Linked DNA regions of Rhinolophus ferrumequinum. The protein of the gene in region 3 purifies or fractionates together with the protein of the main gene of each other region. This does not show direct contact. Links are inferred from orthologs where the notes say so. Each region holds a gene or a part of one and is shown on either strand. Other genes may lie near its edges. The genes, in order: MGA, YAF2 and E2F6.

What was found.
Region 1: the proteins of E2F6 (region 3) and MGA purify together in Homo sapiens (affinity purification with mass spectrometry; 3 studies listed by BioGRID and IntAct, counting the BioPlex papers as one, with this or other methods). This does not show direct contact. The link is inferred for Rhinolophus ferrumequinum from reciprocal best matches to the Homo sapiens genes E2F6 and MGA.
Region 2: the proteins of E2F6 (region 3) and YAF2 purify together in Homo sapiens (affinity purification with mass spectrometry; 4 studies listed by BioGRID and IntAct, counting the BioPlex papers as one, with this or other methods). This does not show direct contact. The link is inferred for Rhinolophus ferrumequinum from reciprocal best matches to the Homo sapiens genes E2F6 and YAF2.

Annotation. Positions count from the first base shown.
Region 1 is NC_046289.1:63,756,049-63,759,796, forward strand, and holds the start of MGA (MAX gene-associated protein), read right to left. Parts: upstream 2,699-3,748; 5' UTR 2,576-2,698; intron 2,360-2,575; exon of another isoform or gene 2,280-2,359; intron 2,214-2,279; exon of another isoform or gene 2,198-2,213; intron 1-2,197. UniProt on the Homo sapiens protein: Functions as a dual-specificity transcription factor, regulating the expression of both MAX-network and T-box family target genes. Functions as a repressor or an activator.
Region 2 is NC_046293.1:45,237,232-45,240,979, forward strand, and holds the start of YAF2 (YY1-associated factor 2), read right to left. Parts: upstream 2,926-3,748; 5' UTR 2,584-2,925; coding exon 2,558-2,583; intron 2,126-2,557; coding exon 2,000-2,125; intron 285-1,999; exon of another isoform or gene 1-284. UniProt on the Homo sapiens protein: Binds to MYC and inhibits MYC-mediated transactivation. Also binds to MYCN and enhances MYCN-dependent transcriptional activation. Increases calpain 2-mediated proteolysis of YY1 in vitro.
Region 3 is NC_046296.1:64,752,023-64,755,770, reverse strand, and holds the start of E2F6 (transcription factor E2F6), read right to left. Parts: upstream 2,528-3,748; 5' UTR 2,262-2,527; coding exon 2,154-2,261; intron 1-2,153. UniProt on the Homo sapiens protein: Inhibitor of E2F-dependent transcription. Binds DNA cooperatively with DP proteins through the E2 recognition site, 5'-TTTC[CG]CGC-3'. Has a preference for the 5'-TTTCCCGC-3' E2F recognition site.

The DNA.
Region 1 (3,748 bases), on a different chromosome or scaffold from region 3:
GGTCATTAACGTAGGTCCAACACACCGCGCAAGATTTTTTTCCCACAATTTGTCTGGCTTTACTCATCATTGGATCCCTATACCTGAAAAACTGCCTGGCACATAGTAAGCACTCAATAAATATGTTAAATGAATACTGAATTAATAAATTTGTCTTTTAACTTTATGGTATTTTTGCCAACTAGAGGTTGTTTCGTGCAATAATTCTATCAATCTTTGCCTTTATGAATTCTGCCTTTCTGTCATGCTTAGAACAACTCATCCTATTCCAAGATTGGAAAATTGTTTACCCACTTTTTAAAGTAGCAATTTTCTAACTTCACATTTTATATTTAATTCACCTGGATTTTATTTTATTTACATTTTAAGGTACAATTCCTTTTTTTCAAACAGCCAATTGTTCCAACATCATTTGGAAATTTTTTCTTAACCTATATGAAATGCCACCTTTATAGTACTAAATAGCCTTATATATTTCTAGGTTTATTCTGTTCCACTGCTCTAGTCCAGAGTTACTACTTACTGTTTTGATTATCACAGCTTTATTTGTATGGTCACTAGTGTTAAGAGCCCTCCTCACTTTTCTCTTTCAAATTTTTTCCTATTTTACAGGTTCATTCTTCAAAATAAACTTTTGACTCATTTTGTCAAGCTTTCAAAAGGCATTCTGGCTGGAATTCTGTAAATTACTTAATCTCTCTGTTGCTATTTCCCTCATTGGTAAAACGGAGATAATAGTACTTATCTCATACGTTTGTTATGAGAACTAAATGAATTAAGACATATAAAGTAATATGCTAGAAAGATGTTAATTATTACTCTAATTGCTCAAAAGTGACAACTATCATTATAATGATTGCTCGATAAATGTTTTCCAGATTGTGCTCCCACAAAATTCAAAGGCTCTTTAAGATACATCAAAGGGTAGCATGAAACTGAAAGAGTGATATGAAAAATATATAATGTATGCCTGCTTCATTTCACTAAAGGCCTTGACCTTTGGTTAAATGAAGAGCTGGAGCTGGGAGCAGAGAACCATGAAAAATACCAAAGGCTAGTGAGAGGAAGCCTCAATTTTTTTTATTTTTTTTTATTTTTTTATAAAGATTGGCCCATCAAGAGGAGAAGCCTTATGGGGCATGAGCAAGTCTCTTCTAATTACTTGTGTTTCCCCATCTCCATAGTGACATAGTGATGACAATACTATTATCTCAATTTCTTTCCAGAAACACACAGGGACTAGACGTCCAAAAGAATAGTTTTCAAGTAAGAAAGTGGGCAGGTACAAAGTATAAATGCTATTGATAAAAATGGACAGATATGCCAGATTCTAATAACAAATTACCTTCACTAAATTCCCACATCAACGTAATGATGAGGGAGGGGATGGTTATGGGGTTTTTCTTGTGGGGAGATGCGATTGTCTCAGTTAATAATTTGTTCACTGTTCTTTTGTTATCTACATGACATTGGGATGAGGCAGAGTCATACACCATACGAAGGACCTTAAAGAAACAATCTCCCATACGAAGGACCTTAAAGAAATAATCTCTTATACAGAGCTAAAATATAAATGACAAAATGGAGGCCGAGAGAGGCAACATGACTTGCTAATTACAAAAGTAGCTGAAGGCTTAGACCCCTGGCCTCCTAATTCCCAGACCTCAGACCTCGGCTGATTTCACCACACCACACAGCTTCTCGCCGAGGTTTGCCACGCTTCGAGGTGGGAGGAGTAAAAGCAAGCAATCTGGCCGCAGCGTAAGGCGCTGGAAACCCACAGGACCGCACAGTCGACAGCACGTGACTGGCCACGCCTCTCTCTTCTCCCACCCTCCCCCTTCCCCGCGCCAGCAGCACGCGCTGCCAACCTCGTCATGTGACCTTCACGCGGCCCCAGCGCTCCCCCTGCTAAGAGACTTGTTTCCAGCAGCCATTTTGCCTTGAACTTGTCGTCCGTGTTCACAGCGGAGGTGGACGCCACTAAAACCCGTGGCCAGATTTTACAAGCCGCACACGCGCTTCGAAAGAGCGCTCTGGCCGTCAGGGCTGAGCCGAACCTCACTGAACACGTCGCACCCCGGGGCGCCGGGGAAAGCTGTGGGTGCGCCTCGGCCTGCGATTGGCTGTGGCGTCCACGTGATGCCAGCCCCCCACCCCTCTCCTTCCCCCTACCCACAAAAACACCCAAACATACTCTTAACACCTCGCGCCAAGTACACGCCACTGGGCGCGTGGGGACGAACGGGATGCGTGGCAACCAAGGCGCCTGCGCGTACCTGCCGGGCCGACCGGAGCGGACCCACGCGCCGCGCCGCTCTGCTCACGGGTCCGGGATTCCTCGCGCTGCTGGACCACCAGGCTAGTCATTGGCTGCCAGCTTTGGTCACGTGGTCAACTCAGGCCTGCCCCTAACCGCTAATCACCTGGCACCGTGCTCGAAGCGGCGCTGAAAGTCTTTCGCACGCGGAAAGGGAGGGTAGTTAGAGGACCTCCTTTTCTGCCGTTAGGGGATGGCATTCACAAAGGGGAAACGAGGAAACAGGGTCTCAAAACTAAGGAAGCTCATACCTACCAGTTTAACTTCGCGTGCCCCTCCAGGAGCCGGGAACCATCGCCCTTGGGCGCTCCCCGATGCACGCCGGGATACGTCTGGCGCCCCTCGGTGTGCTGCAGAGCATGCCGGGAAAGGCACCTCTCCCGATTTCCTGGCTCTCACCTCCCGGGCATTCCTTTCACGTCCCCTTGAAAGCCCGGTCCTTCGGCTTGGAATGAGGCGGATTGAGTAATTATGGGAGTGTAACTGGATATAACAGGCACTTTCAGTCCCCCTCCCCCCACTTGTTCCATCCGTGTGGTCTTGGGGAAACCGCTTAACCTTTCTTCATAGAGCATGCATTTAGTAAGTACCTGCTGAGTGCCTTTGTGAATATTGCAAAAAAAACCAGCAAGGGTGTTTGCCCACAAGTAAACTACCAGCCTTTCATGGTCAGTGGAAAAGAATGCTAATTTATATACAACTTACTTAAAACCCCACTTGGGAGAGGAAATAACACCTTGAATTTCTCTTGGGACAGAAGACCAGATCTTCCTTGGTAACTTACTCCTCTTGTTGAGGTAAATGGGGGTGGACGAAAGAGGAGTCATTTTAAAGGGCCCTATTACAATTTCTGGTTCAAGCTAATACTAGCTATGCATATTGGAAGTGAGAAAAACACCATCTGCTAGCGCTGAGAAAAGGTGGTCTTACATCGGAACGCGTTCATTTTGTAACCTATTCACAAACCGGCCTCCAGGTCAAAACTTAATATTCTACTCCCATGAAGCCCCCAATTAAAACAATTCATATCAAATCTCCTCCACTTTGAACTTCTGTCCTCAGTTTTGCGGATTTCAAAACTTTGGTCTTTCAGTTAAAGGGATGATCAAGCATGGGGAATTTGACTACCACCGGTCAGACTCACAACAGTGCTGATTCATAAACAAGGAATTAAATGTATCAATTTAAAATATGATTACCAAGCCAAAATATAGTTTCAGACACCCTTTTCTTGTTTCAAGATATTTGATGAGCCTAATTAATTATTACACAATTGTTTCCTGACTAGAAAGTCAAAAGAAAGGGAATTAGACTTCTGAATATTTATCCAAAGAATATGAAAACACTAATTTGAAAAGATATATACATACCTATCTATGTTCATTGCAGCGTTATTTACAATCGCCAAGACATGGAAATAACCTAAGT
Region 2 (3,748 bases), on a different chromosome or scaffold from region 3:
CCTCCTCAAGTAATCCACTAAAAACTGGATCTACAAGAGCTCAGATGTACTGGTAAAAATGTCAGGGGCCCCCATGGGGGCCTCAAGCCTCTTTTATACTAGGCCCACTTCTCTGTCCTGGGCCAACTCCCCTGTGCACTATATTCCTTCTTCTTCCAGATGCCAGGTATTCGGCCTGTTTCTTCTCTTCTGAGCTGCCACCACCTACTCTATTTCTCAGGGTTCCTCTAACCCCAAGACTGGCTGTGGAGTAGGACACCAGCTTCCCCCCTTCCTTGCTGTCCCTGCAAATAAACATATAGGCTCTTCTAGTTTCAGTATTTTTCTAATGGCTACAAGAAAATAGAGGGAACAACAAAAAGCAACAATATTGTACCAGAGATTAAGATTATAATAATTGTCTCCACTTTAAAGTTCCTGCCTCCAAAAAACAAATTTTCTGAAAATTGCTTATTGAGCATTTAAAAAAGTACAAAGTACTAACATAGATATACAAATATAATCTAAACCAAATCCAACCTTATATAGACATAAAGATATCAAGATATTCTACTTTTCAAAATACTTAAATCACGGGTCCAAAATTAGTTACCACATTCATGTTAGCAAATAGGTGGTTTTTTTTTTTAGAGTATTCTATTACAGTCCCTTGAATTTTGTATATGTTTGAAAGTTCTCTTTTCAAAGGATACCATAAAAAATGCTCAATATATTTTATCCAATATAGATGGGAATTAATGTACAAAAAACGTGTTAAGATTTACAAAAAGACAGGTATGTCAAAAGCAGCTGACTTCACTAAATTCTTAAAATTTTAAAATACTGCCAACCATTTCTGTCTCTACATTTAAATTTTTTAATGGAACGCTCTAAATGGTGTTTAAAAATCTGGATATTTCATTTTTAGAAATCTAACTTCTGAATATATAAATCAATATATAAATATTGTGGATGCCTTTTTTAAAACAACAGTATTATATCCCATTGGTATACTTATACTCTTGTGATAATTTAGTTTCTAACAGACTTTGTAATATCAAAATATGTGTTATCTAAATATTAGTCTATGAATTACAGGATTATAACGAATTAATTTAAAGCCTACCTTCCTATAAAGGTGAAGGGAGTCTATAACTAAGGCTGGCAGATCAAGAATGTCACTGTCTGAATTTCCTGGATGATTTTCTTTATCCACTTAATTCACTTAAGTGGGTTTTTAAAAGACTGAGTTATTATACTGTAAGCTTACAATAAAGACTGAAAATAGGCAGAGATCATTTAATCTCATTTGTATAGTCTAATAGATTACCATTTGACCACACTAAAGATATTCAGACACCTTCAGTAAAACTACGTCCCTGTGACGGCTCACCACCAACTTTTATAAAATATTAGAGAATTGTAAAAAAACACTGAACAAAACCTTGCTGTGACCCGTTCAAACGTCTATATAAAAAAAGGAAGTTAAAATATTAGAGAATTGTAAAAAAACACTGAACAAAACCTTGATGTGACCCGTTCAAACGTCTATATAAAAAGGGAAGTTAAATCCACTGGGTATTCTATAATCAGATTGTTTTCTTTTTGAGGAACGTAATTAAATTACATCTTTTGCTCCTAAAGAGGATTTCATGGTTTTTCTTTGATTCCTACACACTAACACAACAATGCAGCCAACATTATTATATCCGGAATGGAGCGGGGGAGGATGACATTACACCCAGCGATACGAATTAAATCGCAGCAGCTAATGCCCTCCTTAAATAATTTATTCTCTCTTGGCAGCAAAAAAACGATACAGCCTCTTCAATTACTCCTCACCGCAAACCATCGCTTGGGTCGCGACCAATCTGACCCAATTCCTATCGCGGCCACCACCTCAGTCTCGCTTCCTCCCGCCGGGTCTGCAAGTGTCACGGGAGGTGGAGGCAGCCGCAGGGGCGTCCTCTGCGCTGCGACCCGGCTGGCCAGAAGCACGCGAGGCAGGCCCGGGACTCACCGGGTGGAGGTGCCCTTCCGCACATCGCACATCATGCACTTGAAGGCCTCCGCGCTGTTCCGGAAGGTGCAGACGCTACAGTCCCAGTAACCCTCATCCGAGGACGGCTTCGGCTGCCGCTTCGGCCTGCAGAACACAACCCGGACACGACGTCGCGCGGGGTCACCAGCAGGCCGCGCCCAGCGCCCGGGCCCCGCGGTCGCCCGCACCCCGACCCCCGACCCAATTCCGCGACCCCCCCCCCACCCGCGGGCCCCGGACACGCCGCGCTCCGGCTCAGAGGGGGAGGGGAATAAAGAAGGGGGAAGGCGCGAGCGCGGCCGCTATCGTCGCGGCCGCGGCCTCTGTGACACCGGGACTGCCGCTCCGGCCGCCGCCATCTCGGCTCCATTGTGGGGCGGCCGGCGGCGGCCCTTCACGCGGCAGCGCTCGCGCAGCAGCGGCGCCGCCCCCGTTCTCGCCCTGCTGCCCGGGCGGCGAACCAGGCGGCCGCCTGAAGCCCGACGCGAGGGCCCTGCCGCCTGCACAGTCCGGGCCCGAGGGCCCGGGCGCTGTTACCTGGTGGGGCTCTTCTTGTCTCCCATGGCTTGGCTACAGATGCACGCCGAGAGTCGCCGCCGCGGCCGCTCTGTTTGTCAATAAGGAGGATAATAAGCCGGGCGGAAGCGGGCGGGGGAGGAGGGAGGGGGCGGGGAAGGCCGCACCGCCAAGCTCCGGAGCCGCCGCCGGATCCCACGCAGCCTCCAGCTGTCGGGGAAACTCCTGCCTGGGCGCACGTGACCCGCGCCGGCCAACCAGCGGTCGCGCCGGAGACTTCAAACGCGGCCAGCGCGGCCCAGCACCCGCCGCGAGTTCGCGGGCGGGCGGCGTGGGGGTGCAGCTGCAGCCTCCGGCGCCTCAGCCACCGCTTCTCCGCCCGATTTTCCCCGCCTCCCCTCGGCAACCCCGGCTGACGGGGGCTGCCACGCGCTCCGGGCTCCTCTGTCTGTCCCTCCGGCTGGCGGGGGATGCTCAGTCAACCCCACGAGAAGCCTAGTCCAACGTGGGGCCGGCGTTCGGAGGTCAGCCCAGCTCCGGACGAGAGTGCCCGGCTGCGGTCTCCAGGTAGAACCGCTTTCCCAGCCTCGGCCGCCCTTGGCTATTCAGCCTCAGCCCGGATACTTGGGGGGAGTTGGGAATCAGCATTGAGCGCCATTGCTAAGTGCCTTAAAATACTGTCTAGTTTTATGCAGGAAAATGCTTTACCAAGTAAAGATTGCCTTTGATTTAGAAGAAACGAAACCGAGGCTCAAGAGAGGTTAGGTGACTTCCTCTATTACATAATCAGAAGATAACAAAGCCAGGAATCTAACCCTGGTTTTAATGCCAAATGCGCTGCCTCGGCTTCCCAGGCATCTGCAGTAGCTGCTTGGGGGGAAAAATTTTTTTTAAAGTATTCATAAGCCCTTTTTTAAAATAACGCGTTTACATGTGCCCTGAACGCTACCTTCCTTCCAGATCTCAATTATCTCAACATACTGGACGCCCTCACTTTGTACATACTAACAAGGACCATATAACTGGTCTCCGAAGCTCAAGCCGGATCACCCCAGTTTAGTCAGTGCTGGTAATGACACCATCCTGATCAAAAGTTTGCTAAAGCTCTCAGACTCCTTAGCCTGGCATTCAAGGACTTTCACACTTTCTCCCTACCGGTTATGGTAAGGGCCTTATCCCATTCCCCATCAGAAAAACTGCCTCCGGGCAAAG
Region 3 (3,748 bases):
TTCTCATTTTAGTCCATGAGTATAAAGTCTGTTACTTTAAGGCTCAAACTGTTGCCGATTAGGCCTTTTCAAAGTGGCTCCTGCACTTTGAAATAAGGACACTTGGTTTTTACCTTTTCAGCACCTTTAGGATGCGTCTTCAGAGGAACGCTCCCGTAAATTTCTATGTGACTAACCTGCCCAGATGCCAGCAGAGATGATGCTGCTTCTAGTTCCTGCAACCCACAACTGCGGGGGCAGCATCAACGTTTCTATCACTGAGAGGTCACTTGCAGGTGATTTCCCTGAGCGGATACCAAGGGAGCGCCTAGTACCAGTCACATCTCAGGACTAGACTACCTAAGAGTCTTTCCCTTTCAATCCTCAAATCTGCCTCTCATTTGTTCAGGTTTATTATATAGCCTTGGAAAGGAACAGAGAAGGCAGAGGCCTCCAAAATCACTACGGATGACAGCAGCCTAAGAACCAGCAGCTTCTGATGTGCAAGTCAGCACATTCCATGCTATTTTACTACCGTTCCTAGTCCTACATCTAAAGACCAATGCTTCTAAATCTGAGATTTCAAAGAAAAAGAAGAGACTAAAAAGTGAGTTTTGGAAACTAAAATCTTAAGCACTGTCTTTAAATTAGTTAAAAATTTCTCTATATGGATGCCTCTTTGTACCGACTGCCTGTTTTGGAGAATAACATCCCTTTAAGAGCCCTCTGAAAACATACCTTTCTCCAAGGTGATTACATTCATTTAAATGTTCCTTAACTGAAAAATAATACTATATTATATACTGCTAATAATACTAAAAACATACTACCTTCAAACAATACTATTTTCTCCCTTCTCAGTTTGCAAGCCATTTACGTAATGGGAACATCAAACAGTCAGGTATATAACTAATCTTTGCACAGCAATAGACTTCTATGTATTTAATTATTAAATACTTCCAATCATTAGCCAATTAAAAAACACAGACATAGGTATTCGAATCACCATTTTATCCAAAAGAATGTGAAAATCTGAAAAATTTAGCAACTATAAGCAGTTCAGGAAAGATAAACCCAGGGGCCTGATTAAGAAGTTTCGAATCTAACCTGACAGCACTAGGGAACCACAATAGAGTCTTTAAGCCAAATGAAATGATCATAAATATGCTGTAAAAAGACCACACGGTTAGTTGCTGTGTGGAGAATATACAGAAAAGTTGGGGGCAAAACCAGAAGCAGGAAAGGTGGTTAGTAAGACATTGCAACAATCTGAAAGATAGATGGTTAAAAGTGGCAAGTACTGGGGATTAATTTTAATTGGATTAGAAAGATGGAGGGAGTCAGTTTCAAAAAAAGAAAAGGCAAGAATGATGCTTAGGATAGGTGTTTGGACAATACGGTGGGTGGGTGTGTTACCATTTATTAAGCTAGGAAACAGCAAAGTTGTTTCTTGCTTAGGTTAGAAGATAATGAATTCAATTTTGGACATGTGAGTTTCAAATCTAAGTAGAGATATCTAGTAGACAGTTGGAAAGCTCTGAGCTCGATTTATAGATTTGGGAGTTACATCATGACATACAGTATATCGCATCTAATCTAGAGCAACAATAGAGGAAATTAACCTTCAGCTGGAACGAAGCCCAATCTCCCCTTCCATTTTTTTCTGTCTTTCTGAATGGGGAACTGTGGGGTGGGAAATGTGAGATATGGACAAGCTTTTAAATAGTTACAGTTAAGTAGAATGGGAGAGGAAGCCCAAGAGAAAAACGATCGCTTGCAGAGATATACTGAGGGTGAGTGGAAGTAGGAAAACAAGATTTTCTAACGCAAAGTTGAGCAACTTTCTCCAACAGTGCTCCGTAGCCCCAAGGTAAAAGCCAAGAAGGCTGACACATTTGAGAGGACGTGTTGAAAGAAGGCAACAGAGTTTAAGCGAATGACCAGGTTGGTTCATAGTAGTACATAATGGGCAGTGCAAGACCAGAGGAGACAGGGGAGCAGCCACGGCCCAGCCCTGGGCGAGCTCATAATTCAGAAGACACTCAGTGCGGCTTCCCCAGTGAGGGAAAGGGGCGGCTAGCCTGAGACGCGAGCCGCCCGGACCCGATCCCACCCCACCCCGCCCCCGGCCAGGACCCCAGGCGCGCAGGACTCAGGCTGGCCCGGGGACTTACCAGCAGGCCCTCCACGTTGATGGGGTCTCGGCACCGGCGGCGCACCGTCTCCTCTGCCGGGTCCACGAGCAGGCTGGGCAGCTTCCGCGCCGGCCGCTGCTGACTCATGCTGCCCGGCCAGCGGCCCCTCGCCCTCGCACCCCGCGAGCTCTCCCGCCTTCTCCTGCTCGGGTCGGACGCCGCTCCCAACGCTTTGGTTCCCGGAGCCCAGACCTGGGCTTGTGGCCTGCTCGGAGGTGCACTGGGCTAGTCTGGGCCGGAGACGAACGCGCCACTGTCCAACGGCCCCGGGAAGTAGCACGCAGACTGCAGGAGCGCAGGGAGACCCACGATTCTCAAGACGCCATGCCCGCCATCTTTCCGCATGCGCAGTGCGCCGCCCCCAGTGCGCATGTCTGGCACAGCGGGAGCGCTCCCACGCAGTAATCCGGTCCTGAGCTGGAGCCCGCGAAACCCTGGGAGGCGGAATCCACGGAGAGGATGGCTAAGGAAAAGGAAGAGGTGGAGCAGGAATCCGGGGGAAGGGAACAGCACGAAAAAAAAAAACAACACAAAAAAACAAAAACAGGCGGCCAGGAAAACCGCATTTGTCCCGCGGAATTCTTGACATGATGACACTAGTAACTGAAGGATCTGAGTGGGCAGAGGTGTTAATTTATTCCTGAGCTCCCTCTGCACATCTCAGGCACTTACCCAGCGTTGATGCTTAGTAAATGTTGGAAACCAAACCGTTGCGGAATTGTTTACTTACATGCTTCTTTCTCTTTCTTTCCTTTTTCTTCCAGTTAAAAGATGCCCTTACCTACCAGAGTCCCTGAGAAGGCAAGCTCTGGACACCAGTAAAGACTGTTTTTAATAAGTAAGGTGTTCATTCATCATTTGCATTCTGCTCAATGTTCTACATACATTTTCTCATGTAAATCTTGTATTAAAACTGATGGATAGGTGTTTTTCTGCCCAATTTACAGATCAGGAAAACAAAGATGAGCAAGATTACAAAAATTACCCCAGGTCCTGGCTAGGCAGTGGTAGAAGCAAGATTTGACTCTACAGTTGATTAATTAATTTGGTATGCCGATTCTTGAGAAGGCGATTGAAAGGTGACTAGATTATCTGCAGCCAGAAATGGGGTCAAGTGAGTGAAAGTGAGGTGTGGGTCAAGACGAAGTTGGCAGGCACTCCAGGCTGAAGACAGCGTGAGCACAGCTGTGGAGGGTTAGGGCAGTGACACCCCCTCCAGACACTTACAACGCCTGTGACTTGGCAGGAAGTTGAGGGAGTTCATGCTCTATGAAGCCAAGGTCACCTGCTGAGAGTAAGGGGAGATGGTAGGATTGGAGATTTGGGAGACATAGCATGCACTCAGTTAATATTTACAAATGGGGAACAATAGAGAAGACTGACTTGCCAAACATAGTAAGACTGCAAAGTCACACTAGACATTACCTCCATCTATGGCTATCTCACATTGTCTCTAATTACATATCCTCCTATGAGAGTTGAAGGATGAAGAGGCATGTGTAAAAGATGGCAGAGGAGAAATGGTGGCAGCAAGGACTGTTCCCCATTAATTTTCTGCATGTAATAATCTGGGT